Oryctolagus cuniculus: one gene and its partners. The protein of the gene in region 2 binds, or shares a complex with, the protein of the main gene of each other region. Links are inferred from orthologs where the notes say so. Each region holds a gene or a part of one and is shown on either strand. Other genes may lie near its edges.

What was found.
Region 1: MED12 (region 2) and MED19 share a complex: the UniProt entries of both Homo sapiens proteins name them as parts of the mediator complex. The link is inferred for Oryctolagus cuniculus from reciprocal best matches to the Homo sapiens genes MED12 and MED19.
Region 3: MED12 (region 2) and MED24 share a complex: the UniProt entries of both Homo sapiens proteins name them as parts of the mediator complex. The link is inferred for Oryctolagus cuniculus from reciprocal best matches to the Homo sapiens genes MED12 and MED24.
Region 4: MED12 (region 2) and MED1 share a complex: the UniProt entries of both Homo sapiens proteins name them as parts of the mediator complex. The link is inferred for Oryctolagus cuniculus from reciprocal best matches to the Homo sapiens genes MED12 and MED1.
Region 5: MED12 (region 2) and MED31 share a complex: the UniProt entries of both Homo sapiens proteins name them as parts of the mediator complex. The link is inferred for Oryctolagus cuniculus from reciprocal best matches to the Homo sapiens genes MED12 and MED31.
Region 6: the proteins of MED12 (region 2) and MED13 are in contact, whole or in part, in a cryo-EM structure (PDB 8TQC), measured with the Homo sapiens proteins. The link is inferred for Oryctolagus cuniculus from reciprocal best matches to the Homo sapiens genes MED12 and MED13. Residues at the interface, in NP_005111.2 of Homo sapiens: Ala3, Phe4, Arg12, Pro13, Arg16, Leu86, Thr123, Thr127, Thr150, Pro152, Val153, Met154, Arg155, Phe242, Pro278, Leu281, Arg282, Arg356, Pro357, Phe360, Gly361, Cys364, Gln367, Thr368, Cys372, Pro407, Glu408, Phe413, Val417, Lys1526; in NP_005112.2 of Homo sapiens: Ser157, Glu158, Thr336, Val337, Pro339, Gln340, Ser341, Gln343, Lys344, Trp345, Lys347, Phe348, Asp1186, Ile1189, Leu1190, Gln1193, Asp1194, Pro1332, Ile1333, Thr1335, Leu1337, Tyr1340, Asp1341, Tyr1342, Asp1343, Tyr1344, Leu1345, Val1346, Leu1347, Ser1348.
Region 7: MED12 (region 2) and MED8 share a complex: the UniProt entries of both Homo sapiens proteins name them as parts of the mediator complex. The link is inferred for Oryctolagus cuniculus from reciprocal best matches to the Homo sapiens genes MED12 and MED8.

What each region holds. Positions count from the first base shown.
Region 1 is NC_091432.1:14,441,313-14,445,345, forward strand, and holds the start of MED19 (mediator of RNA polymerase II transcription subunit 19), read left to right. Parts: upstream 1-1,233; 5' UTR 1,234-1,316; coding exon 1,317-1,533; intron 1,534-4,033. Other genes in the region: TMX2 (thioredoxin-related transmembrane protein 2), read right to left, coding at 674-862. UniProt on the Homo sapiens protein: Component of the Mediator complex, a coactivator involved in the regulated transcription of nearly all RNA polymerase II-dependent genes.
Region 2 is NC_091453.1:50,928,015-50,931,514, forward strand, and holds part of MED12 (mediator of RNA polymerase II transcription subunit 12), read left to right. Parts: coding exon 1-19; intron 20-211; coding exon 212-322; intron 323-445; coding exon 446-700; intron 701-1,075; coding exon 1,076-1,222; intron 1,223-1,387; coding exon 1,388-1,487; intron 1,488-1,601; coding exon 1,602-1,738; intron 1,739-1,973; coding exon 1,974-2,105; intron 2,106-2,417; coding exon 2,418-2,544; intron 2,545-2,992; coding exon 2,993-3,222; intron 3,223-3,500. UniProt on the Homo sapiens protein: Component of the Mediator complex, a coactivator involved in the regulated transcription of nearly all RNA polymerase II-dependent genes.
Region 3 is NC_091448.1:22,404,805-22,407,319, forward strand, and holds the end of MED24 (mediator of RNA polymerase II transcription subunit 24), read left to right. Parts: intron 1-30; coding exon 31-130; intron 131-870; coding exon 871-951; intron 952-1,190; coding exon 1,191-1,339; intron 1,340-1,476; coding exon 1,477-1,593; 3' UTR 1,594-2,015; downstream 2,016-2,515. UniProt on the Homo sapiens protein: Component of the Mediator complex, a coactivator involved in the regulated transcription of nearly all RNA polymerase II-dependent genes.
Region 4 is NC_091448.1:22,906,050-22,910,032, reverse strand, and holds the start of MED1 (mediator of RNA polymerase II transcription subunit 1), read right to left. Parts: upstream 2,801-3,983; 5' UTR 2,579-2,800; coding exon 2,554-2,578; intron 1-2,553. UniProt on the Homo sapiens protein: Component of the Mediator complex, a coactivator involved in the regulated transcription of nearly all RNA polymerase II-dependent genes.
Region 5 is NC_091448.1:49,930,968-49,935,182, reverse strand, and holds the end of MED31 (mediator of RNA polymerase II transcription subunit 31), read right to left. Parts: intron 867-4,215; coding exon 674-866; 3' UTR 501-673; downstream 1-500. UniProt on the Homo sapiens protein: Component of the Mediator complex, a coactivator involved in the regulated transcription of nearly all RNA polymerase II-dependent genes.
Region 6 is NC_091448.1:35,408,779-35,412,916, forward strand, and holds the start of MED13 (mediator of RNA polymerase II transcription subunit 13), read left to right. Parts: upstream 1-1,338; 5' UTR 1,339-2,084; coding exon 2,085-2,150; intron 2,151-4,138. UniProt on the Homo sapiens protein: Component of the Mediator complex, a coactivator involved in the regulated transcription of nearly all RNA polymerase II-dependent genes.
Region 7 is NC_091438.1:129,638,949-129,642,909, reverse strand, and holds the end of MED8 (mediator of RNA polymerase II transcription subunit 8), read right to left. Parts: coding exon 3,947-3,961; intron 2,311-3,946; coding exon 2,170-2,310; intron 1,972-2,169; coding exon 1,890-1,971; intron 1,525-1,889; coding exon 1,276-1,524; intron 866-1,275; coding exon 801-865; 3' UTR 501-800; downstream 1-500. UniProt on the Homo sapiens protein: Component of the Mediator complex, a coactivator involved in the regulated transcription of nearly all RNA polymerase II-dependent genes.

The DNA of each region.
Region 1 (4,033 bases), on a different chromosome or scaffold from region 2:
TTTTTTTTTTTTTTTAATAAGCGGTCTCAAAACTACTGAGGAAGCACCGCAGGCGGCCTGGCACGTATTTTATTTTATTTTTCTCCAATTCCTTTTCAGGTTTTATTCAATTTTGCATCCCACATCCGGGTGCAGCACAGTACTTAGCACACAGTGTGCTCAATGAAGAGATGGCTGACAGAACGAGCAAGTCCCAATGGCCGGAAAAGTCGCTGTAAAGGCCCAGGCACTCCAGTCGTGTGACCCCGGGCGCGTCGGCTGCCCACGCGCAGGCCGGTTTCTTCAAGCAGGAAACCGGACTACGACCACTACCCGCCTCGTCGCCCCCCGCCCCAGGCTCCTCGGGAGGCTTTGCACAATGAGCAGTACTGCAGAACGCCACACAGGTGCCGAGTTTGGGCACGGCTGTCTACTGGCAGGAACAGCGAGGCGTCAGGAAGCCCGGACTGGGGCTGTCGTGCAGGGGCTACCAGGCACCGCCTCCGTTTTCCCATCGTAAACACTTCGTTTAGATGCGATGACAGTCTGCGCCCTACACCCTTCAGCAGTCTGCAAGCCCGCTAGAGGCTGGGAACCTCAAGTGTCCTTAGGAAGGTGAAACTCGGGACTCCACATGCACCCGCAGGGGCAGGGACAGTCAAGGTCGCGGGGTTCTGAGCCCTAGAGCGCTCACCCAGTCAAAGTCACACGGGTTGCCGTCTTCGCGTTGGGTGGGGAGTCCATGGCAGAGCGGTGGCAATTTCCTCACGAGCAGGAAGGCAGCAGAGAGCAGGGCAGACAGAAGGTAGTAAGGCCTGGCCAGCCATCGTGAAAGTCGCGGCACCGAATACACCAGAGCAATCAAAGGCGCTAAGACCGCCATGTTTCCAGGTCCTGCGGCGCCCGCCGCTCACCGGCGTCCGTAAATCTGGGCCCGCCTCCCACCCCATTGAGCGTTCTATTGGCCCAACTACCAGAAGAACCGCCTCTAGACCCGGAAGTAGATTTCTCATTGGATGCCGCCGTAATTCCGAGTTGAAAAGTGGAGTTGACCGGTTTACTGGCCAATCTAGTTGTCGCTTTTTCTACCAAGGTCATTTTATTGGATATGTGTTTATGGCCCGCGGAAGTGACCCAGAAGAATTCAATCAGGTTAGATAGCACTTCCTGAACGTTTTCAGAAAGCGACGGAAGTTGTTGCCAGAAAAAGGTAGGTGGAGCCACAGATATCCAATGATAAGCTTTCTTTACAGGAAGAGGGCGGTACCCCGTGAAAGGATTGTCCAATGATAGTCATCAACGCCAGACACTGAGGCAGCGCCGGTGCGGAGGGGACGATGGAGAATTTCACGGCGCTGTTCGGGGCTCAAGCTGACCCACCACCTCCCCCAGCCGCACTAGGCTTCGGACCAGGAAAGCCTCCACCCCCGCCCCCGCCGCCGCCGGGCGGGGGACCCGGCACAGCGCCGCCTCCCACGGCGGCCACCGCTCCTCCCGGCACAGACAAGTCAGTGGCTGGTTGTGGCCCCTTCTATCTAATGCGGGAACTGCCTGGTGAGTACTAGGCCTGGCCGAAGCTAACCAGTCCAATGCTGAAGAGGTGAGGGCGTGGCTGTTGGCCGGCTGCTGGAGGTGCAGAGGCTGCACGGACCCGGGCCGTGGAGCTGGAACTTGCAAGAGCTGCGAAGATTCGCAGCCACAGGGATGATTGGGTTCGTGGGATGGATTGGGAGGAGGTGGGTGTGTGTCTCTGGGTCTGGGCTGTGCCCCTGACACTGGCTTCTCCAGGGTCATGGAGATCGGAACTCAAATGATATGCCTAGGGAACCGAGGTTTTTTAGTTTCAGTCCGCCTCAGGCTGGCTGTTGGTTTGGGGGTAAGTTTCTTCATCTATTCAAAGACGGGATTAGAAGGACACGAAATTATTTCATATCAAATTTATGTGGTTTGTTCTGCATGCTGGAGCTACAGCTGTGAACCAGACTGGCAAGATCTTTGTCCTTTTTGCCATTGGAGACAGCGTAAGCAAGATAGCATCAGATAGTGATTAATGCTGGATGAAAACGTGATCAAGAGTTGAGGTGGAGGCAGGCGTTGTGGTGCGGTAGGTTAAGCCACGGCTTGGAACGCCCGCATCCCATATTGGATTGAGTCCTAACCCTGTGTACACCCTGGATGGCAGCGGACGATGGCACGTCCCTGGATTCCTACCGCTGTCAGGGGAGACCTGTGTGGAGCTCCAGACTCAGTCGCGGCTGTTGCAGGCATCTGCGGAGTGGGCCAGCAGATGCAAGATTTCATCCTGTGCCTTTCAAATAAAATAATTTTTAAAATGTGGAAAAACTGAATTAAAAGATGTTCACTTTTAGAAAATGGACATAACTGTTGCTAGATGATCAGAGTTAACAGAGAGGAGAGGCAGAGAGAGAGAGAGAGGTCTTCCATCCTCTGGGTCACTCCCCAGATGGCCACAACAGCTGGGGCTGGGCTGATCCGAAGCCAGGAGCCAGGAGCTTCTTCCGGGTCTCCCACATGGGTACAAGAGCCCGAGGCCGTGGGCCATCTTCTGCTGCTTTCCCAGGCCACAGCAGAGAACTGGATCAGAAGAGGAGCAGCTGAGACTCAAACTGGTGCCCATTTGGGATGCCGGCACTGCCGGTTGCGGCTTTACCTGCTATGCCACAGTGCCGGACCCTAGTGCTTTTTCTTAAACTATAGTTTTCCTTTTATTTGAAATGCAGAGAGACAACCACCAGCAGTTTCTTTAAGCTTTTTTCACTTACTCTGATTGTGCTTGTTTCTGTCAGCCCGTTGGCAGATACTTGGTATCTGTTCTTGGTAAATGCTCTATGTGCAGGAACAATGATGTGTTGAAAGGGGGAAAGAGATGTCAGGTCTGGGCCTTACTTCCTAATTTTTACTTTATTTGAAAGCCAGGGAGAGACGCAGAGAGACATTCCATCTGCTGGTTCACTCCCCAAATGCCCCCAACAGCCAGGGCTGGGCCAGGCCAAAGCCAGGAGTTGGGAACTTGATCCAGGTCTCCTTTGTGGCTGGCAGGAATCGAGTCCTTGCCGTCATCTGCTGCCTGGCAGCCTGCATCCTAGCTGGAGGTTGGAGCAGAAGCAAAGGAGCCGGCACGGAACCCAGCCACTCTAGTATGGGATACGGGCATCCCAAGCAGTGTCGTGACGACTGCTGCAAATGCCCACCCTTGGTCCTTGGTTTATAAGAAGACTATTTTAGTTAGTTAGGGAAGCACAGTATGTGGTTTGTGGATAAACAAGTGACTGTTTCTCATCGATACCAGTCTCATTACTTTGCAGTCATGCCTTAAATACTGCACAGCTAACAGTATCTTAGTGAACAGCATTAACTCCTTGATGGTTTTCAAAATGTGGTGTATCCATGATGACAGCAAGAAATTAGATGTCACTTGAGCTGGACTGTGAAGAATTCACATTGGTTGGGGAAAAAAAAAAAAAAACAACAGATTTTTCCTAAAAGGAAACAATATAAGAGGGAATGCCTATTTTTTTTTCTCATAAGTGTGGAGACTCATTTGAATGGATCAGAAATTTTACCAAAAAGAAAGAAATTTTACCTTTGGGGAAGTAGTGGCTGATGAAGCCCAGAGCTAAGTTGGATGCAGTCAGATGTGAATAACCCTGGATGCCTGAGGAACGGGTGCTTTCTCCCGAGAGTAACAGGAAACCTGAAGGTTTTTGAACTCAGAAGTCCTGCTTTCTAAAACATCTCAAGAATGGCGGTGCCATGATTGAAATGAAGAAGCCATAAGTGACATGGGCAAGAATTTGAATTAAAAAAAATTGAATCTGCATGAAATTTACTGCAAAGAAGGTTCATTCAGGAGAGGAGTCAGAGCTGGGGAGAAAGATTTATAAATTAACTACAAAGCAATAGTCAAAAACAGGAAGTTAGAGTTTAGAAAAAGCACAGTACCTTCTCCCTGACCTTCAGCAAAACCACCTGGGAGGAAGATAACTGGCAGAGAGGAGGGAACATCAGAAAGCAGTAGCAAGCAGCAGTGCCA
Region 2 (3,500 bases):
GGCCATGTTCATGTTCCAGGTAGGGAGGAGGGCGTGCTGTGCGGGCCGCTGGATTGAACCTGATCTTAACACTCAGTCAGGATAGAACGGCATCTCCCTGCCGCCTTGCTCCACTTGTGGTGCTCTTCCTCCTTGCCCTTACTTTATCCGCCTCATCTCTCACAGTCCCTGGGCTGAATTAATCCTCTTCCCGCACCTCTGATTCCCATAGGATGGCATGTTGGACAGACATGAGTTCCTGACCTGGGTGCTTGAGTGTTTTGAAAAAATTCGCCCCGGAGAGGATGAATTGCTTAAACTGCTGCTGCCCCTGCTGCTTCGAGTAAGGCCTAGGGTTTGGGGGTGGGTGGGAGTGGGGTGTCTAGGCAGCATTTGAGGAAGAATGAAAGCTGGGAGCAGTGTCCCTTGGCAAGAACTAGGGGCTCCGATGGTCATGTCTTCACAGTACTCCGGGGAATTCGTTCAGTCTGCATACCTCTCCCGCCGCCTTGCCTACTTCTGTACCCGGAGACTTGCCCTGCAGCTGGATGGCGTGAGCAGCCACTCATCTCACGTTATAGCCGCGCAGTCCACAAGCACACTGCCTACCACCCCTGCTCCCCAGCCCCCAACGAGCAGCACACCCTCAACTCCCTTTAGTGACCTGCTGCTGTGCCCTCAGCACCGGCCCCTGGTTTTTGGCCTCAGCTGTATCCTACAGGTAGGTACGAGGTAGGGCCACAGAAGTGTTAAGAGCATGCCTGGAAAGAGCGGGTGCCCATCCCAGAGAACGGGAGTGATTCCAGATTGGAAGTGAAAGTAGGCGCTGAGGACTTGCTCGGAGATTGTTGCTTCTCAGTGAGAGGGTGTTGTTTTCCCTCTGGGGACTTTGGCAACCTCTTCATTCCTGGGCTCAATAATAGGTTCAAAGGCTTTTAGGAAAGTAGATGAAGGGAAGGGATCGAGGATAGAGTGATACTTGCCTTGGGGACTCAGAATAACTTTGGATCCAGAACCTAAGGGTTGGGTCTTCTAATGGGATTCCAGAGAGAGAGCCGTGGTAACTGAGTTTGGCTTTGCTGTTTCTGTCTCACAGACCATCCTCCTGTGTTGCCCTAGTGCCCTGGTTTGGCACTACTCGCTGACTGATAGCCGAATTAAGACTGGCTCACCACTTGACCACCTGCCTATTGCCCCCTCCAACCTACCCATGCCGGAGGGCAACAGTGCCTTCACCCAGCAGGCAAGTCCGGCTCCCAGCCTGCGACTCCCACGCTGGGATGGGAGGCTCAATTACTCTTTCAGACATTGTGATTTGGAGCCTGTTCTCTTATTGTTCTCTTAACCTCGGCCGTGGCCCTTGGCCAGCCCTGATACAGCCTTGAAGCCTGCCTTTTTGATATCACAGGTCCGTGCGAAGTTGCGAGAGATCGAGCAGCAGATCAAGGAGCGGGGACAGGCGGTTGAGGTCCGCTGGTCTTTTGATAAATGCCAGGAAGCCACTGCAGGTGCGTGGCCGAGGACGGAAATGACGTTTAAGAGAAAGATGGTATGGTTGGGACTGAGAGTCCGAACGCACTGGGCCTCTAAGTACAGTCCCTTTGGCTGCTTTTCCTCCTCAGGTTTCACAATCGGACGGGTGCTGCATACCTTGGAAGTGCTCGACAGCCATAGTTTTGAGCGCTCTGACTTCAGTAATTCCCTTGACTCCCTTTGCAACCGAATCTTCGGACTGGGGCCTAGCAAAGATGGGCATGAGGTATGCAAGTAGAGGCCCAGAAAGAGCAAATAATAATAACAATAATAATAATAATAATAATGCCATTGCAAGAGCAGTGGCATGTGGGAGGGGAAGGCATGGCGAGGCATTGAATCCGGGGGATGTCTGCAGAGCAAGAGGTCTCAAGATGGGGCCCAGTGTTTAAGAAATCGGAACTTAGCTCTCTATCCCCAACCTTTACCGTCCTCCTCCCCATCTTCCTTCGGGTCTTCAGATCTCCTCAGATGATGATGCCGTGGTATCTTTGCTATGTGAATGGGCTGTCAGCTGTAAGCGTTCTGGCCGGCATCGTGCTATGGTGGTAGCCAAGCTCCTGGAGAAGAGACAGGCGGAGATTGAGGCCGAGGTGAGAGGGCAGAGATGAGAGGCTGACATTGGCCAGTAGGAAGGACTCGACCTGAGGTTGGAGACAGATCGAGGTGGTGGTGGGGCCCCAGGTGATGGATGGTGCGAGAACAGAGTGGAGATGAGAGAGAGAGAGGGAAAATCAAGGGCCTTCGTGGGTGGTGGTAAAAGAAGCTGAGGTCACGCGGCGGGGGATGGAAGGGAGAAGCCTGGGGTGGAGGCGAAACAGGTGGCAGTTCAAGGGTTACACGTCGAGGAGTAAAGACACGGGGGAAAGAAAGTCAGTCCTACAACTTGTCGTCTCATCTCACAGCGGTGCGGAGAATCGGAAGCAGCAGATGAGAAGGGCTCCATCGCCTCTGGCTCCCTTTCGGCCCCGAGTGCTCCCATTTTCCAGGATGTCCTCCTGCAGTTTCTGGATACACAGGCTCCCATGCTGAGTAGGAACCCCCTGCTACCTTTTAGTTAACTCTGCCTAGGTCCAGTTGCCCACCACTGTCATCATAAAGATGAACTGAGGGCCTCTTGAACTCCATGCACGATGACTTTTAGACAGAGTTCTAGTCCCTGCTCATCTCAGAGTTCCCACGAGGAGAGAAATGCAGAAAAGAACACGTGATTGAAGCTTTTTCATTCTACACATAGCAGTGAAGAAGCTAGATTCCTTTCTGAGATGGTGTGTGGGCCAGTACATTGGGCTAACCAACCACACTTTGCCCCTCAAGAGTTTCTGCCATTTTTTTTTTTTTTTGGCCATTCCTGTATTCCCTTAGCATGTCCCTCTCTGGGGGTACGCTGGGAGCACCGTGCTTGAGGTGTGCCTCTCTCTTTCTCTGCCCACTTCCCCTGTGCCTTCCTAACCCATCTTTCTTCCTTCCCTCCCCACAGCGGACCCGCGCAGTGAGAGTGAGCGGGTGGAGTTCTTCAACCTGGTACTACTGTTCTGTGAACTGATCCGCCATGATGTCTTCTCGCACAACATGTACACCTGCACTCTCATCTCCCGAGGGGACCTTGCCTTTGGAGCCCCCGGTCCCCGGCCTCCCTCCCCTTTCGATGATCCTGCCGATGACCCAGAGCGCAAGGAGGCCGAAGGCAGCAGCAGCAGCAAGCTGGAGGTGAGTGGGCTTTTCCTGGCTCTCAGTGGTTTCAAGGCTCCCCAAGGCCTCTGAGAGTCCCTTTGGCCTAGTAAGGGTAGTATTTTCTTAGCACTTTGCGGTTTACAAAGCACTCACATCATTTGTTTTTTCATTCCATCCTTCCACCATCCCTGTAAGGTATTGGGCTTTTTAAAATGTTTATTTGCTTATTTTCATTAAGTTGAAATGCAAAGTGACAGAGAAGGAAGCGGGGTGGGGATGGGAAGAGATATCTTCCATCTATTGGTTCACTCCCA
Region 3 (2,515 bases), on a different chromosome or scaffold from region 2:
TCAGGTTGTGAAACAGTGACTGCCCCTCAGGACTACAGCAGCCTCTTCCCCTTGGACGACACGCAGCCGTCGAAGCTGATGCGACTGCTGAGCTCCAATGAGGATGACGCCAATATCCTTTCGAGCCCCAGTGAGTAGAGGGGCTGCCTTTGCCAGCCCCCCCCCCCCCCCGGCCCCGAGAGCCGCGCATGCACAGACGCAGCCACAGGCTCCGCTGGCTGGTTCTTCCCTGGTCCCTCCCTTTCACCACAGGGTTGGGGGGTGACAAACCACGCAGGTATGGCCACAGCTGCCTCAGTACAGTCTGTGCCATTGACTCATCAGCTCTGTGCTTCCTTCCTTCCCCCAAAACACACCCTGTGGTCTGGAGCAGGCCCAGCTGGGACTGGGGCTGCTCCCCACTCTTCCTGCCCGCGGAGCACCGGCCCAGCCTGGCTTCCACGCCCCCTTCCCCTAAGGCCTCTTCGGTGCCATTTCTCTTTCCTGAGAATAGAAATTTCTCTGAGGCTTTTTGGGGACTTCGGGGTCCAAGTGCACGTGTGAGAGGAGGAGAGATACTGGGCCTGCCACCTACAAGCCCCGTGACCGCGGCTTGTTGCTTAGCGAGGCTGAGCCCCCATGTCCTCACCTGCAGATGGGGTGTGAGAATTGAGAGCTGAGTCCTGGTGCAGCCCGGAGGCTGGGCCCCGGCCCTGGCGGTCCTCCTCATGGGGATGTCCGCATTCAGAGCTCCTCTGGACTCTGGTCTGAGGGTCTTCTCTGGGCTCTGCAGGGATCAGCTGATCCCCGAGTTGGGGGGGGCTGCCACTGGCAGAGCCACCAGTGAGTGCAGTGGCCGTCTCCTCAGCGTCCCTGCGCTCCTCCCCACAGCTGACCGCTCCATGAGCAGCTCCCTCTCGGCCTCCCAGCTCCACACGGTCAACATGAGGGACCCTCTGAACCGAGTCCTGGGTGAGTCCCCCGCTGCTGCTCCTGAACCTCTCCCTAAGGGAGGCAGGGGCCACGTCCGCTGGAAGAGGCCTCGCCTCCCCCACTGCACCTGCTTCCCCCTCGCCAGTGCTCCCGTGTCTCCCCGTTTTCCTCTATTTCCCCTGGACATTCCTGCCTGCGGGTCTCGGCGCCCCCTTCTACTCCCCTGCCTTCCCCTGGACTCTGATCTCTGCCTCCTCTTGCTCTCCCGTCCTGCACAGCCAACCTGTTCCTGCTCATCTCCTCCATCCTGGGGTCGCGCACCGCCGGCCCCCACACGCAGTTCGTGCAGTGGTTCATGGAGGAGTGCGTGGACTGCCTGGAGCAGGGCAGCCGAGGCAGCATCCTGCAGTTCATGCCTTTCACCACCGTGAGTGCCCTTCACCCCGGGCCACCGCCAGGCGGCCCAGGCGTCGCTGCACCCGCACCGGGGTGGGGCCTCCTTCCTCCTGGGACCCTGCACCACCTGAGGAACCTGGTGAGCCTCTGTTGTTCTGTCTGTGGCAGGTCTCGGAGCTGGTGAAGGTGTCAGCCATGTCCAGCCCCAAGGTGGTTCTGGCCATCACGGACCTCAGCCTGCCTCTGGGCCGCCAGGTGGCCGCCAAAGCCATTGCTGCCCTCTGAGGGCTTGGAGTGGCTGCAGGAATGGCTGGGAGGGTCCCAGCCTCAGGCACCTCAGGAGGGAAGAGTGAGGAGAGATGAAACGGCGTTGCTCTGGTGTGAGAGCCCTTGGTTGGTCTCCAGAACTTTTCCCCCCTTCCTGACTTCTAAACAGTTCCTACTTTTTTGTAATTTCTTCTCCCCTCTGCCTGTATCTAAAGAGAAGGAGCAGCCTGGATCCTTAGCCCAGGGCAGGGCCCCTGTGCAGCCTTCCCCCTTGCAGATTGGCCCCCAGGACTTCATGGACGCAAAGGGTGTGTGTGTATGTGTGAGAGAGAGAGGGAGAGAGAGAGTGCATGTGCATGTGTGTACGGGCCGTGTATTTTTGTAATGTGAGGGGAAGCCCACCTCAGCTCATTTGTAAATAAAGATCCTCACGGATCACATTGTGAGTGTCCGCACCATGGGTGTCTGCGTCTGCGCCCCGTGTCCCTTGCACTGGAGCTGGGGGAGGGGGGAGGAGGAAGAGGCTCAGGAAGTAGGGCTTAGGTTCCCGTGTGTGTTCACTGGGTAGGGGAGGGGGGCAGTGAGAGCAGCTTCCTGGGCTCAGACCCAAGTGGGGTGACAGCACTGGCCTGCGGCCCACCTGGTGAGCCGTACCCTGAAGCGGGAGGGGTTCTGGCATGCTGGGGCAGCATGTCCTGTTCTGTGGCTCCCCACCCGGTCTGTCCGGCCTGCAGTTTGAGCTGTCGCTTCCACAGGACAGGGCGAGGGACAGCAACGCTCTTGAACCCTTCCTTGCCTCTCCACACGCTCGGAGCCCCTGTGGGAGAGCCCTCAGCCAGGCAGTTGGGGTCTGGCCTTGCTGTCTAAGGCACTGCGGGGAGGAGAATGGGTGACAGGAGCTGAGGATAGGGAGGGCGCCCAAGACAGTGGGCTGGGTGGT
Region 4 (3,983 bases), on a different chromosome or scaffold from region 2:
CGACATAAATCAGAAAACATCATTAGAAACTCCTTTATCAAGACCTCGTTTTTCTTGGAAAAGAAACCCCCACACAGCCGAATCTAAGAATTGGCTAAACTACTTTTCGATATAATTTCTTCAAACCACATAAAGAAAATATTTTTAAAGGTGAGAAGACACATACCTTATGGGTCTGATAAAAGGAACACCATAGGACATTCCATTCAAGGTTTTAATGGGAACCCAAAAAGGAACCGAGTCTAATCATGATTCACGACCATGCCTACAACTTAGTGACAGTCATTTTCATAACATGCCTGAAATTTCTGTATAATATTTATAGAGAGCATACATTTGAACATGGTCTTACAATGGTTAGCTGATTTTCAATGTGAAAATACTTCCTTAATTTTTGGCCATAATTTTAAGAGATTGGTTGATAAGTATGATCAAGAAAACAGACCCTAATTGCCTATCTGATGTTTCATATTTTTCCATATAGCTAAAATTATATGGACAGGGAAGAAATCAATAACCAAAAGATGAATTTCCAACAGAGGTTAAGAGAAAGGCAGAAAGGATCAGCTCCTGAACTAAGAATATGAATGAACCTCTTAAACCCTTCGAGCCTCCCCTAGTTCTTGAACTGCCATGTATGAGCGAAGACCTGTGCTGGGGCCACTGGAAAGGAACACAAGATATGCCTGAGGAGGGCCGGCGCCATGGCTCAATAGGCTAATCCTCCGCCTTGCGGCGCCAGCACACCGGGTTCTAGTCCCGGTTGGGGCGCCGGATTCTGTCCCGGTTGCCCCTCTTCCAGGCCAGCTCTCTGCTGTGGCCCGGGAGTGCATTGGAGGATGGCCCAAGTCCTTGAGCCCTACACCCGCATGGGAGACCAGGTAAAGCACCTGGCTCCTGGCTTCGGATCAGCGCAATGCGCCGGCCGCAGCGTGCCAGCTGCGGCGGCCATTGCAGGGTGAGCCAACGGCAAAAGGAAGACCTCTCTCTCTCTGTCCACTCTGCCTGTTAAAAATAATAATAATAATAATAATAATAATAACAAGATATGCCTGAGGTGACATCTGTGAGGCAGTGTGATCAAGTTAACATGGGAATTACCATTGGTGCAAAAAGAAATGCTCTTAAAAGCAGAGACATTACTACTGAATAGCAAAGAAGGAAAAGTACATAATCAATATGGAGACATTAAAAAAAAAAAACAGACTGTTGACACTGGCACTGAAAAATAAATAGAAGGTCAGAGTTAAGGCAGCAAGATGATCTCAGTCAAGACTCAGACTCCTTCCTTCACGCCTTCATCTTCTGGAAAACTGGTTTGTAGGCTGCTTCAGCCAGCTGATTGCTCTGGGCACATTCCTATTTCCCACTATCAAGCCATTCATTCAAGCACAATTGTATGTGCTGCAGACACAGTAGTAAGCAAACCATACAAAACTCCTGCCTGATGGTGTTTCCACTTTACACCCAAGGGACACACATTTCTTCTCCTTCAAATCACACCCCTTTTTTTTCTTGAGAAGCATTCTGTAAAACGTCCTTAGTCTGAAACTCAAATCAAACATTTTCTGAGCAACTACTATGTGCCAGAGATTATACAGAGATGAATAAGGGAGCCGGTGTTGTAGTATCGCGGGTGAAGTCACCACCTGGGATGCTGACAACTCATATGGGCAAAGGTTCAAGGCCCAGCTGCTCCGCTTCCAATCCAGCTCCCTGATGGTGCACCTGGGACAGCTGCGGAGGATGGCCTCAGAGAGTGGCCCCCTGCACGCATATGGGAGACGCTGGGGAGGCTCCTGGCTTCGGCCTAGCCCAGCTCCAACTATTGCGGTCATTTGGGGAGTGAACCAGCAGGTAGAAGATTTTTCTCTCTCTGTAACTCTGCCTTTCAAATAAATACATCTTTAAAAAAAAAAAAAATGAATAGGGCAGCCCCCTGATCTACAAAGCTCAGAACAAACTGGAAGGATGAACAATGATAATAAAGTAAGCTGTGATTGAAAGTGCAGTGTGGAACTCCAGAGAATCGGAGTAAAAATTTCCATAGAAAAAGTCGTTTTCAACAGTTCTAAATCAGTCCGGCCACCGATGGGAACACTGTGACTTTTAGGAAGTGCAGGCATTTTGTATCCTCAGGACCAAATCACATCATTCACATCAAAATACTCTCCAGTACTTTTAGATACACGGTTCCGTATGGCTGTTTTTAGGCCATTATTCAATGGTCTCTTCCGGAATGAGTTGCAAACAGCTAATATATTCACTCGCCTGATCTTCCACCACTTTAGGCTAAAAGTGCCCAGAAGCCCCAGGTACTGTCTCTATATAAAAAGGAAATCTTCACCCAAGTTGGGAGCCCCCACCACCCTAAGTCAGCGCTCTATCACCATCAAGGAAGGCATGATGAGCATCTAAGACACACACATCCCGCATCCTGGACTCAGTGCCCCCGCGAAAGCGGCCCCCACGGGGCATCGGCCCCCACCTCCTCGCCCAGATTGGCTGCCCCCAGTTGAGTCCCGCCCCCTCCTTTCCCCCACTGTCACTCACCCTCGGTTTCCCCCTGAGCCTTCATCCTGACGACGGGCAGGGCCTGGGTCCGCCACAAGAGGAGAAGCCCGTTCCTTCCACTAATGGGAGAGCCACGTTAGTTCGGGCTCCCGGGACGCAGGGCACCAACAGTCCCTACTCTTCCCGGGAAGGCTCAGTCTGAAGTCCCCGGTGGCAAGAAGAGAAGGGTGCCTGCGGCCGCCGCCATCTTCCCCAACGGAACTTCCTAAAGCTCGCGAGATAAACCGTGATCCTGCGCGAGAAAGGAAGCGACGGGATACTGAAGTCTCGCGAGAGGTGAATGACGTACTTCCGCGAGATTTCTTCCAAATCCGGCTGTCTCTTAGCTCTTGGGTACTTCGTTCTGAACTTGCGAGCAGGTAGAGTTCGGTTGTTGTACGAAAACTTGCATTTTCATTTTAGCCGTTAGTTTGGAAACTAAACCCACAGAACCCCTTTTTTTTTACAGGCTAGATTTTCAAAGAATACTGGTATCTGAAATGTTTTATCAAATACAGTAGAGTTTCCCTTATATGCTAGATGCAGTAAAACTGTCATAAAAACACTGGCTCTTTGTAACACGACATTTGAAGGCTGCCTAGGACACTTAATTACCATTTTCTAATATTTTTTAAGTTTCAGGAATATTTCTTGAGCAGTTGCAGCAGTTTTGAAAATCTGAAGTGCTTTGGATTAAAATAAACTTGTTCTCAGCAGCAAGTGCATGTTATCACTGTGTCTTGGTGGAAACATGCAGTTTAGCTTGTATCTCCACTGCAGATCACAGTGTGTAGTCTTCTCTCTTGTGTCAATAAATCCTCATGAAGAGAAATCCATAGCAATGCTGGCAAGTGCATGGCCACTGGAGCTTAAAGGCTACTTTTAAAAAGAATTTTCTCATATACATCCTTCAAAAATGCGGCTGGAAAGTAGGATCTTACCTAGTTTTCTGCAAGAATATTAAGCAATGAATTTCTTTTTTATTTTTAAGATTTATTTATTTGAAAGGTAGAGTTACAGAAGCAGAGAGAGAGGTCTCCCATCTGCTGGTTCACTCCCCAAATGTCCACAACTGCTGGACCTAGCCAATCCAAAGCAGGAACCTGAAGCTTCTTCCAAGTCCCCCTGCTGCCCTCCCCCCCCCTCCACGGGTGCAGGGGCCCAAGGACTTGGGCCATCTTCTGCTTAAGCAATGAATTTCTACTGACTGTAGTCTCAGATTTTTTCCACATTTAAAAAATAGCATTCACATATCCAGAGCCATCTCAGCAAATAACTGCAATTCAACTGAGTAGGCACAGCAGTATAAATTTGATAAAAAAAAAAAAAAATAACCTGGCAACTTGTTTCTTTACTGCCACAAAGGTAATTATAACATTCCCTTGAAAATAGGATTACACTTTTATTGTTTTTTTCCTCTTATCGTCATT
Region 5 (4,215 bases), on a different chromosome or scaffold from region 2:
ATGAGAACACAGGGAAGCACTTCACACAGTGCCCAACTTGCGGTACCTGCCAAGTAACTGTTCACTTTCCCAAAGCAGCACAAGTATGAGTGGTTCCTGTTCCTTGTCGCTGCTGTTGTTTAAGGTCAAGAGTCCACTCTGGTTAACCAAACTTCTCCCTGCCCATTCTGGGTCACTGATAGACCACTGATTCTTAAAGCTGTCTTACAAAGCAGGTACTGGTACAGTATCTGCTCTGCTGCAGGACCCAAGAATCTTCGTGCATTCCCCGCTCCGTTATTTAAGGAGGTCCCCGATCCCAGTCCTCTCCTTGAGACAGACAGGTTCCAGCAGATGGACCCGCCAAGGTACCACTCTGTGTCCTGAGCAGTCAGGACATTTGGCCCTACCCCGCTCCATGCCCCACTACCTCCTTAAGCTGTTCTAAAGCACCTAATTCTCCCGTCTGTATTCAGCTGATTGTATCAAATGCTCTTAAAAACATACACAGGAAACCAGTGTAGAACAATCTGGTTTAACAGAAATACTCTGTTACAATAAAAAGTTAGTTGGGTTAGAAAGCACACTGAAGGGTCTAGTTGCGTCCACAATGAAGGGAGGCAGGAAAGTCTGTTCTCACTGTACAAACATACATTATATACATGTCTTCAGAGCCCGGTCCGCTTCCAGCTTCTCATTTTCCTGACGTATTATTTTGCTGTTGCTGCTCTGCCAAGGCTTGCTGAAGGCGCATCCGCTTCCGGGAATAGTGCTGCCAGTGCAGAATCTGCTGCTCGTCAATGAACTTCGCACACTGCGCGTTCACGAGCTCCTTTCGGAAGTGTTCGTACTGAAGCAGTTCCAGCATGTGTAAACACTGAGGGTACCTGGTTTAAGTTCATACGTTAATGAGCCACATGGTTTAAGTCAAGACCAACTTACAGTTCAGTTACTCAACACGACTGGGTAGCCTATGAGTTCTAGTAACGTAACTTAAAAATAAGCTGTATTTTTGGTAGCGTAGGATTCTCCACTAGTCATCGAGAGTCAATATTACATAAAATTGTCCAAACCGAGAAAATTTAAGTTTAGAAAGATTAAATACTTGCCCAAGACCACACAACACAGTGACAGTAAGCTGAGTCAGAATTTGGGGACAAATCATGCTGTTCTAGCACATGTTTGGTAATTATGTGTTTAACTGGCAGCTGTTTATTGGTTTTCCATCAACAGTGATCGAAAGATAACTTTTTATTTAAAAGTGAGTCGGGCAAAAAGAACTACACACAGATACTGTCCTCAAACTTTCCTGGGACCTAGCAATTCTGAGGTTAGTTTACATATACTCTCAGCATGTATACCATGGTTAACGAGAGCCGAATTTGTAGCTATCAGAAGAGGAGTTACAGATAAGGAAAGGGAGCAGGTTAGAATAAACCCTGTGTTTTTACTTCAAACTTGCACTCGTGGCTCTTAATATATACAGATACAGAAACACAGGTGCCTGTGTGTGCCAAAGGCACAGCACACAGACACAGATCCCAGAAGCAATGACACTGGAGAAATGGCGGAGCCCACGGCTGGGACAGGCAAGTGCAAGCCGTGCCTGGAGGTCATGGAGAGCCAGGAAGAAAGGAGACGGTCAACACCGATGAGGCCATGGCTAAAGTACTGTTACCTGAGCATGCTCTCAGTGGCCAACCTGGGATAATTATAGAGCAATAAAACACACTTTTAATCCACAGAATTAAAAAACCTGGGAGTCTATACTGATAAACGTTAAATGAATGAATGGAGTAAAGGGGAATGTTCTTCCTTACAGTAGTTCCAGTTAGTAAATAAGGGTAGAATGGTGGAATCAGAAAACCATCCAACAAGTTTCTTAAACGGATGCTAAAATTAGTGGGCGAGAGTTTATTTAACAAGATATTTACATAGTCTCAAGGTATTTCCCCATAAGATACTGAACACACAAGAAGAAATAGTAACTGCGTGGAGAAACCTGGAAGGCACCACCTCAACCAATCAAAAGTGGCACCAGCAGTGGTGGCACAGCCACGTGATGCGACCCCGGCTATGCCCAGGATACAGTGTCACTTCTGTGTCACGGCCGTGAAAAATCAGCAACATAAAGAGCGAGGAACTCAGGTTACAGGAGACTAAGACGACATGACAGCAAAATGCAGCACGTGAGCCCAGCGTGGACACTGCACTGCACACGGGCCCCCGAGGGACAACTGGTCGGACCTGAATGATGATGTTCTGATTCCGACCACCGTACTGTGGCTATGTAAAACATCTGGGTGAAGAATACACAGGAATTCTCTTTATTCTTCCAGCTATTTTGTTAAGTGGCATTATTTCAGGTTGATATAAAACTGAAATAATTCAACTGGGTAGGGAGTATGCAGAGCCAGAACTGCACACGTGACATACACATGAGCGAGGCCTCCAGGTGAGATTCTGACTCGCTATGTTTGGAGCACAGCCTGAGCTCCGTCTAACAAGCTCCTGAATGAAACTCGCTGGTGTGAAGACATCAAACAGCAGGGCCTGATAACAGGCTGCCCCTCTGAGATACTGAAGGTCTGCAGACTACACTCCACAAACACACTGCTGTAACCACGGGGAGCAGCTCTATTCACAGCTGCCCTGGCTCATTCCTTTGCATGGCAACAAGGCAGTTAAAACGATCTGGGGGGCCAGCGCCACGGCTCAATAGGCTAATCCTCCGCCTGCGGCGCTGGCACACCAGGTTCTAGTCCCAGTCGGGATGCCGGATTCTGTCCCGGTCGCTCCTCTTCCTGTCCAGCTCTCTGCTGTGGCCTGGGAGAGCAGTAGAGGATGGCCCAAGACTTTGGGCCCATGCACCCACGTGGGAGAGCAGGAAGAAGCACCCGGCTCCTGGATTCAGATTGGCGCAGTTCCACCCACTGCAGCCATTTGGAGAGTGAACCAACGGAAGGAAGAACTTTCTCTCTGTCTCTCTCACTGTCCACTCTGCCTGTCAAATTAAAAAAAAAAAAAAAAAAATTCTGGGGGGCTGGTGTTGTGACGTAGCGGGTAAAGCTGCCACCTGCAGTGCTAGCATCCCACATGGGTGCCGGTTCAAGTCCTTGGGCCCCTGAACCCGCGTGGGAGACCCAGAAGAAGCTCCTGGCTCCTGGCTTCAGATTGGCACAGTTCCAGCTGTTGCGGCCAATTGGGGAGTGAACCATCAGATGGAAGACCTCTCTCTCTCTCTCTCCTCTCTCTGTGTAACTCTTTCAAATAAATAAATAAATCTTAAAAAGATCTGGGCCTTGAACAGGTACTCCACCTCTCTAAGGTTCAGTTTCTTCACCGTAAAATAAATGAAAGTGACGACCAAGAGAATGGTCTCAGGTAGCACTGAGTCTACGACTGGAACTTGGACACGCAATGAGCATCTGCGGTATGAAACAGAAAACAGTGTTCACAGTACAGACAGGACAGACTGTGAATATTCTGACAGGCTACCGGTCAATATGAGGAAATAGAAGCGGCACGAAAGTTCTGCATCAATTAAAAAAAAAATAAGATATGAACAGAGAAGTCAGCATCACTGATGAAAGGACCTGAGAAAGCACCCAGCATGCCACAGTGTAACGCCCTACCCCACCCTGAAAAGTGATGTCACCCTGAGTTCAATTAACAGAAGTGCCACGTCCACGTGGGAGAAGTGCCCTGCCCACTGCTGAAGACCCGTGTTTAGCGGATGGCTCAACCGCGTTACCACACAACTGCCGATCTCTTCAGTGCACTCGTGAGATGTCTGGAAGCCATGGCACTCGAGAAACGGGACAAGAAAACGACACCTGACTGACACACGACAGCTGCCTGTCCTCGCTGAGGGAGGCCTGCCAAGTAATGGAAGGTGCCTACGAGAGCCAGCTGCTTCCAGGTCCTGCAAGAGCCTGAGTGGGGAGGCTAACGACCCAGGCCCCCAGATCTGATGCTAAAGAGTAGCTGGGAATCTGGATGCTGCTACACTGGAGTGCCGAGGCTCAGGTCTCTACTCCCAATTCCAGCCTCCTGTTAACACGTGCCCTAGAGACAGCGGGGGATGGCTCAAGCACCAGACTCCCTTTCACTCACACGGAAGACCTGGACATGGGGGTTCCAGGCTTCTGACTTCAACGCAGCCCAGCCTGGGCAGTTGTGAGCATCTGGGCAGCGAACTGGCGGATGGGAGTGCTAATAAAATGTTATTTAACA
Region 6 (4,138 bases), on a different chromosome or scaffold from region 2:
TTTTTTGTACGTGGTTTCGGCTTCAAGCTATGGGCTCTTACCTGACCACAGAAGGAGACACGGATGGCTGAGGAACGCTTCTCCTTCCGTGGCTGAAGACGTGACTGCAAGTGTCCACCATTGATTTTACAGAGGAAATTACGATGTTCTAACTCATTGATGCTTCTAACTTCTCAATCATCTTTTCCCTCATTCTTCTTCTCAAAGTTTTATTTGAAAGGCAGAGTGACACAGAGACAGAGCTCTTCCATCTGCCACTTGCGCAGTGTGGACCCCCGTACTTTACATCACAGCTGCCTCCCAGGGTGCACATTAGCAGGAAGCTGGAATCGGAAGTGGGGACTCGATATAAGCACCCAGATGTAGGATGTAGCGGGCTTAATCCTGAGCCAAACAGGGGAGCCCCTTTTCCTTCTTCCTTTGGTGTAACCCTCTCAAGGAAAATGTTTTGAACGCTTCCTTTGAGGTGTAATCCAGCCAAAAACTAAGTGTTTTATAGGGAAGGGAGCTAACATTTTCTCTGGTTCTTGTAGCCACTCATGCATTTGTGAATTTACATATACCAAGCAAGCACCTACTGTGTGCTAGGAACTTCTTTCGGCGCTTGACAGCGGTAAGCAAACCGAGTGGAGGTTCTGGGGCGGAGGGGGGGTGGGGTGGGGGACGCGCAGGTGCCTGGCTCCCTGGCTCCTCGCGGCAACCGCCCCAGGTCACAGATAACTCTTAGCCCGCGGGTCTGCGCCCGGGGCGGGGCTGGGTGCTTCATTTGTGCTAACTCGGCACACCAAGCCTCTGTGCCAAGGGGCAGTCTCTCCCCCTTTTACGGATGAGGAGACCGAGACACAGAGGCTAAGGGACTCCCGCGGCTTCGAGCGCAGGCTCTCCCGCACACGGCTGCATTGTTTCGTTTATGTCTCTCTCTTCCTATCACAATTTTTAGCCGCTGAATCCTTGTCCCCTGACTCCCAAGTCCGGGGGTTTGCGCTGTGCCCGGGCAGCCTCGTGGAATAAATGAGAATGCCTTGGAATTTTGGGCAACTCTTCCTCTTCCAAAGAATTCAAACTGATTTCCACGTCATTCTGAGAGACTTGTGAAGAGTTCCCCCGCCAGGGCAAAGAGAGTGCGTGGGCCCCGGGTCACCTTACACGGCCAGGGCACCCAGCAGATGGCGCTATTTCAGTAGCCACCCGCCGGCTGCCCAGTCCCCTGGGCTCACCGCCTCAGCCGAAAGCTTCCCGGCCCTCCCTCACTCCCTTCTCTCTCCCCCTCCCCACGGAGCCCGGCCCACGTGACCTCCAGGCGGCCAATGGGCGAGCAGAGAGGGCGAGCTGGTCCCTGTGGCCGCCATTAAAGCGAAGGGAAAACCCGTGAATTCGGATTAAAGGGGGAAAAACACCGCCCGCTGGGCCCACAAAATGGGGGAGACTAAGGCGTCCAGGCGGTGAGGCCGCAGGAGAGCAGACGTTAGGCCGGCGGGGCCCAGGGACGACACGAAGACACAGCCAGAGAATGGTCTGAGCCCGGAGACACCGCCACCACCTCCGCCACTGAGGAGACTCTGGGCTTTAAGGACATCGCCGCTGCCGGGCCGGGGGCCTGGGCTCCTCTCCCGGTTCTCGCCCTTCCCGCCCCTCTCGGGGCTCCTCCGCGCCCGGGAGAACCCTCCGGAGCTTGGGCTCTGCGGTCTCGGACTCGATTTTGATTATTTATTGTGTAATTTATTGTTTTTCTTGTGGAAGGAGCACACATCGCCTCTGTCCCCCCGGAGAGGGACGAGCGTCCGCGGGCTCCGCAGTCCGGCCCGCCGGGCGAGCGCGGCGCGGCCCTCCCGCCTCCGGCCCTCGGCCCCGGGCGGCTGGGTGCCGGCCGGGCGGCGGGGGCTGCTCGCGGCGGCGGCGGCGGCGGCGGCGGCGGCAGGGGGGGTGGGTGGGGAGGGCGGGCGGCCCGGCGGCCTCCTCTTCCACCGCCCCCCCAACCACCACCCCCCCGCCCTCCCCGGTGTCTGTGTTTCTCTCTCTGGTCGGAGGCGGCGGTAATGGCGGATGGTGGGTTGTGGCGCCGGCGGCGGCTGCTGTGAGGGACGATGAGTTCCTCCTCCGTGCAGAACGGGGCCAGCCTGGAAGATTGTCACTGTAACCTCTTCTGCCTGGTGAGTGCCGGGGCCGCGGGCGGCGGGGGGAGGGGGCCGGGGGGCGCCCTTGGGCCATGGGGGAGGGGGCCGGGTCGGATCCCGATGCCCGAGTGCCCGGGCTAGGCCCAGCCGGAGCCGGTGCCCTGCGGAGCTCCGCAGCCGGCGCCGGGGACGGCGTCCGCTCCCCGGCTGTCCCGGGCTCCGTCCTGGGAGTGTGGGCTCTTCTCCCTTGTCCTGTTTCGGACTCCGTGTCTCTCTCTCTTTTTCCACGGAAGTCTTGTCTTCAACTTGGGCACCTTATCTGGTCGGACGCGAACATTTCCCTCTGTGTTTCTTGCTTAACTGTTGCTTTTCTCCCTGGTGACTCTGTGTCCCTTTTTCAGACTTTCCGTGAGTGCTCCTGCTTCCCCTGCCTTTCGGCCTTCCCCGGGTCATTTGGTTTCCCCTGGTATACGGGACCCTAGACCCGGAGCAGGGAAAGGCTCTTTTCTTCGTTTTTCATTTCGTTTGCCTGAGTCAGACTAACTCAGGGTTACTTTTCTTCCTTGGCTGACTTCAGATCTTTGTGTCAAAAACTAGTAGATGCTGTTTCATATGTCTTCTTTCTAAACTTTGAAAACAGTTTGCCATTTTGACAATTTCTAGCCATCTTGCTTTTATTAGAACATTATGTTTTTCTTGAGAGTGGAAGGTCTGATGGAGGAGGTGCTGTGGTTTTTGCACTAAATGCTTCTATATTTGTCTGCTTTGCTTGCTGTTTAAGACGGTTTGGAACAGCCTGCTCCTTGTTTTATTAAAAAGTCTGGGCAATCTGGGTGTCGAGATGACAGTTGTGTCGATTGGCCCAGGTCTGCTAACACCCAGCGGTGAAGACTTAGAAAAGTACCAACTGCTGGACGTAATAATAGCGTCCTGAGTTGGACAGTAGCTGAGCTCCATCAGTGACTCGAAGTTTGGGTGACTTTCCTTTCTCATTTTCCCCTGTAGTATGTGAAATAATAAGAATATATGATAGGGGGTCGGGTCCGTGGCGTAGTGGGTAAAGCCACCGCCTGCTGTGCCGGCATCCCATATGGGCCCTGTTGGAGTCCCGGCTGCTGCACTTCTGATCCAGCTCTCTGCTGTGGCCTGGGAAGGCAGCGGAAGATGGCCCAAGTCCTTGGACCCCTGCACCCACGTGGGAGACCCGGAAGAGGCTCCTGGCTCCTGGCTTGGGATCAGCCTAGCTCTGGCCATTGCGGCCATCTGGGAAGTGAACCAGAGGATGGAAGACCTCTCTCTGCCTCTGCCTCTGCCTCTGCCTTTGCCTTTCTGTAGCTCTGCCTTTCAAACAAATAAATAAATCTTAAAAAAAAAAAGGGTATATGATAGGTAAGTGATTTTAAGTGGGCGGAGCACAAGTAGCTGGCAAGTGTTAACTGCCAGCCAGTCATGTTTCAGCAGTTTCATTTTTTGGCACCTCATGCTTTGCATCTTTAAAGAAGTATTGAATTTCTTTTGTCACATTTTTTTTTTCATGATGTTCAGTTGAGGTCTTTAATGCACTTCCCCCTTCTAAAATATGTTGATCAGCATCTCTTCAGATACAGTAAGGCAAACATCGGGTTTTACATTTCTGTCCTCTCCCAACTCAGTCTGTTTTTGGAACTTTTAGGATCAGATTCTTTGAAGATAGCCTGGCACAAGCCTGACAGTTCTTTGTGATAATTATTTGACTTTTCCAGAGGGGTGTGTGTGAAGAGTTAACATGAATTTTTTTTTTCTTCCAAGAATTGTTCAGGTGTCTTTTTTCACTAGAGTCATGATTACAATAAATATGTAGTGATGGGTCTTAAGAATTAATTTTCAGCTAAAAGCTTGATATCAAGGATCAAATGTCACCAGTTAGAATATAACTTACGACAGAAGAAATATATACTCAGTGTGCAATATTAAAGTACAGTTTATATTTAGCATCATTAAGTTCTTTTATTTCTTCTTGGGACACATTCATTAAGTTACTATGC
Region 7 (3,961 bases), on a different chromosome or scaffold from region 2:
CCAAACCCTAACGAAAGACAGCATGAAGTACAGTTCCCCTCTTCCTCCAAAATAAGAAAAATGAGACCAAAGGAAGAAGTTCCTTTGCCAAGTGCTAAGGAAAACTCTCCCACGTGGTCCTGCCTGGTAGAGCCATGTTCCGAGAAATCCCCACACCTTCCTTCAGGTGTAGAGGGTGGGGTAAAGGGGAGGCGACTTTTACCTATTTCCCAGGCTTTGTAGAGGACGGAGAGTGGAGCAGGCCTAAGCTTCACCAGAGCTGCAGGTGGGTGGCCTGCCACAGGCCAGGGACCTCTTCACCCGCAGCTTAGATAGAACCTGCGCAGGAGGCGCTGCAGGGACAGCACGCCCCCAAGGACACAAGGCGGCCACAGTTTCTGGCAGCACAAAATAAGCACAGGCTTATTTAATCTTGTGCCCATTAGTTCACCCTTGACTTGAAGCAGTATGAGATCAGAGTAATTTCTGGATCAAGGCTCACAGAGGGCAGTGCAGAAAAGTGACTGTAGAAACTTATTTATTGAATACCTATTATTTCGTGGTTTCACATTCATCCTCTCATTTTGATCCTCACAACAACCCTATGAGGTAGGTATGATTACCATTTACAAATGATAACACAGGTTCAGAAAAATTAGGTCACTTGCCCAGAGTCCAAGCAGTCAGCGGTGGTGCTGCAATCTGTCTATTGCTGAAAGCCCATGTTTTTATTGTATCCATTTAGGTAAGCCTTGAGCAAAAGGTAATTTCACTGCCCAACTCCGCAAAGAGCACCTGGGAGTGGAGGCTGCTGGCCACACTCACCGCTGGTAGGGATGCATTGAAGCTGACTTGATGTTGGTTTTTATTCCACTTGGCATTTTCCCTAAAAGGAACACGAAGAAAGACCTCTGAAGCAAGGGAAGACTTTCACAACAAATCAGAAATGTGGTCTCTCAGGTTCCCTTCTGCCACCTCCTTTATCATCTCAGAACCTCTGTGGCACCTGACTCTGGTTGGCACAGACCAGAGGTGTGGTTTTTCACCCAGCTCCCTCCCTAAAGGCGTTTGTAGGAAAGAGGTGACAGGGGACACTAGTGGGAGGGGTCAGAACGCATCTCAGCAGTCTCCTGCTCATCGACTCCAGATGACATGTTTTACTTCTAAAAACTGTTTTCTGAGTCACGGTGCCAAGGAGGAAATCTCCAAGCCTGGGGATGCGGGGAACCCATACAACCCCATTTATCTCCACGCTCCTGCTTAAAGTCAGCTGAATTCTAAGCCCCGTCACCTTACCTGGTTGACCTGCTTGAGCCATCTGCACCCCACTGAGCATTGGCTGCTGCTGGCCTGGAGCTCCTGCCATCTGCACCTGCTGTAGTCCCGAGGCTCCTGCAAGGATGGCCCCAGCTCCTGGCTGACCCGGCTGGCCAGGACCACTGCTGCCTGAAGGTCTCCAATTAGACAGCCCCTTCCCAAAGGCAACAGCTGCCACCAGAGCATTGGTGTCTGCAGGGTTAAATGTCTGCTTGTTTGGCCGGAGACCTGAAGAAAAAGTAAGTGTGGACCCTGAAGTAGGCCTCTGGCCCTGGACTGCACCTAGGAGCTGCAAGACCAGTGATGAGCACCAGAGTTGGAGTTCTTGCTTTAGCAGCATCTTGACTCTTTCCCAGCCCAGAGGAAGAGCCAGAGGATCCCCAGGCCTGTATCAGAATTCTCCCTTCTCCCTTTGTCCACTTCTTCCCATTGCACCAGGGCTGGCCTTAAATGTAAAAGGCCAACAGAATGGACACAAACTCTTTCCTAAGCAGTTCATCCCCAAGTCCTCACTCCACCACTACCCAAACCACCATTCCTATCCCAGTGATCTGACACCACTCTCCCTCTATGTTGCCACCAATTCTTCTTACCTCCACTCTCTGATTCTCGCTCCTCTTTGCTAATTTTCTCCAGAAGGTTTGAGCACATTTTATTCAAGCTCTGGATCTGCTTCTGTAACACACACACATACACATATTGGTGCAGATTAGGGTAAACAAGAAATGATTATGGAAAAATTTCTTTCTTGGGCTCTTCCACAGGCAACTTAGGTACAACCAACTGTGTTTTCCTATCAGGCAGGAATGGTAATGCCTAGCTTCTCCTGATGGGATGGGGATCAGGGGCTGTGGGGCAGTGACTTGGTCCAACCTGTGCTGCATCAGCACCAATGCGGGCAGCATCTGTCGTAAGCTGCTTCTCCTGCTCTTCAACCTCAGGGTCAGGCTTGGTTCTTAGATGGTCAGGGACCACCTCATGGCTGAAGACAGGCACCCGTCCTTCAGTCTGCCTCTGTAACACAGATTTTACTGATCCTACTACATACTCCAGGAAGATTCACCCTACCCCGATTTCCCTTCCACAGACAAACACTGAATATTCAAGAAAATACAACCTGAGACACAATATCTAGCTTCCTAGGACACTGTCCCCTTTACTCCACGTTTCATTTCCGTTTTCTCACATCCCTATCTCTACCAGCCTAGTGATAAATATAACTCTTTCTGTCATATTTTAATTAAATCCAGAACAAACAAAGTCACAAAAAGAAAGATTTTTTTGCTTGAGAAAGATGTTGGAGAGAAAAGACATTTTTCTTTTTTTAAGATTTATTTATTCATTTGAAAGTCAGAGTTATAGGGGCTGGTAATGTGGCACAGTGGGTTAAAGCCCTAGCCTGCAGTGCCAGCATCCCATATGGGCACCAGTTTGATTCCTGGCTGCTCTACTTCTGATCCAGCTCTCTACTGATGCACTTGGGAAGACAGTGGAGGATGATCCAAGACCTTGGACCCCTGCACTCGTGTGAGAGACCCGGAAGAAGCTCCTGGCTCCTGGCTTCAGATTGGCCCAGCTCTGGCCATTGTGGCCATTTGGGGAGTGAACTGGTGAATGGAAGACCTGCCTGTCTCTCTCTGTCTCTACCTCTCTCTGTAACTCTTTCAAATAAATAAAATAAACCTTAAAAAGGAAGGAAGGAATGAGGGAAGAAAGAGTAGGTTACAGATAGAGATCTTCCATCTGCTGGTGAAAGGAAGGGAGGGAGGGAGGGAGGGAGGAAGGAAAGAAAGAGTGATTTACAGATCGAGAGAGACATCTTCCAACTGCTGTTTCACTCCCCAAATGGCCACCAATGGCCAGGGCTGGGCCAGGCTGAAGCCAAGAGCCAGGAGCTTCTTCTGAGTCTCCCACGTGGGTGCAAGGGCCCAAGCACTTGATAGGGACCATCTTCTACTGCTTTCCCAGGCACATTAGCAGGGAGCTGGATCAGAAGTGGAGCATGGGGCCAGCACCGTGGTATACGGGTGAAGCTGCTGCCTGCAATGCCAGCACCCCATATGGGTGCTGGTACAAGTCCCAGCTGCTCCACTTCCAATCCAGCTCTCTGCTATGGCCTAGGAAAGCAGTAGAAGATGGTTCAAAATTCTTGGGCCCCGGCACCCCCATGGGAGACCCGGAAGACGCTCCTGGCTCCTGGATTTGGACTGGCAGAGCTCCAGTGGTTGCAGCCATTTGGGGAGTGAACCTGCAGATGGAAAACCTCTCTCTCTCTCTCTCTCTCTGCCTCTCAAATAATTAAAATCTTTAAAAAAAAAATAAAAATAAAAAAGAAGTTGAGCAGCTGGGAATCGAAATGGAGCCCATAAGGGACACTAGCATTGCAGGCAGTGGCTTAACCTGCCAGGCCACAGTGCCAGCCCCAGAAAAGATCTTTGCCTTGGTAACACAGATCTTAGGTTATTACAGCACTATTTGGAAGCTGCTTCCCTACTCTAAGACAAAAGGCAAGGCCTCCAAAATATAGCCCTGCTTCTTACTGCCATGAACTACCCCACATTCAGAACTTCTAGAATAACCAATCGACAACCGTGCCCTAGGCTTTCACCTAAGAATGTAATTTCCCAAGTTTCCCCTTTTACTCTCTTACCATGAGATCTTCATC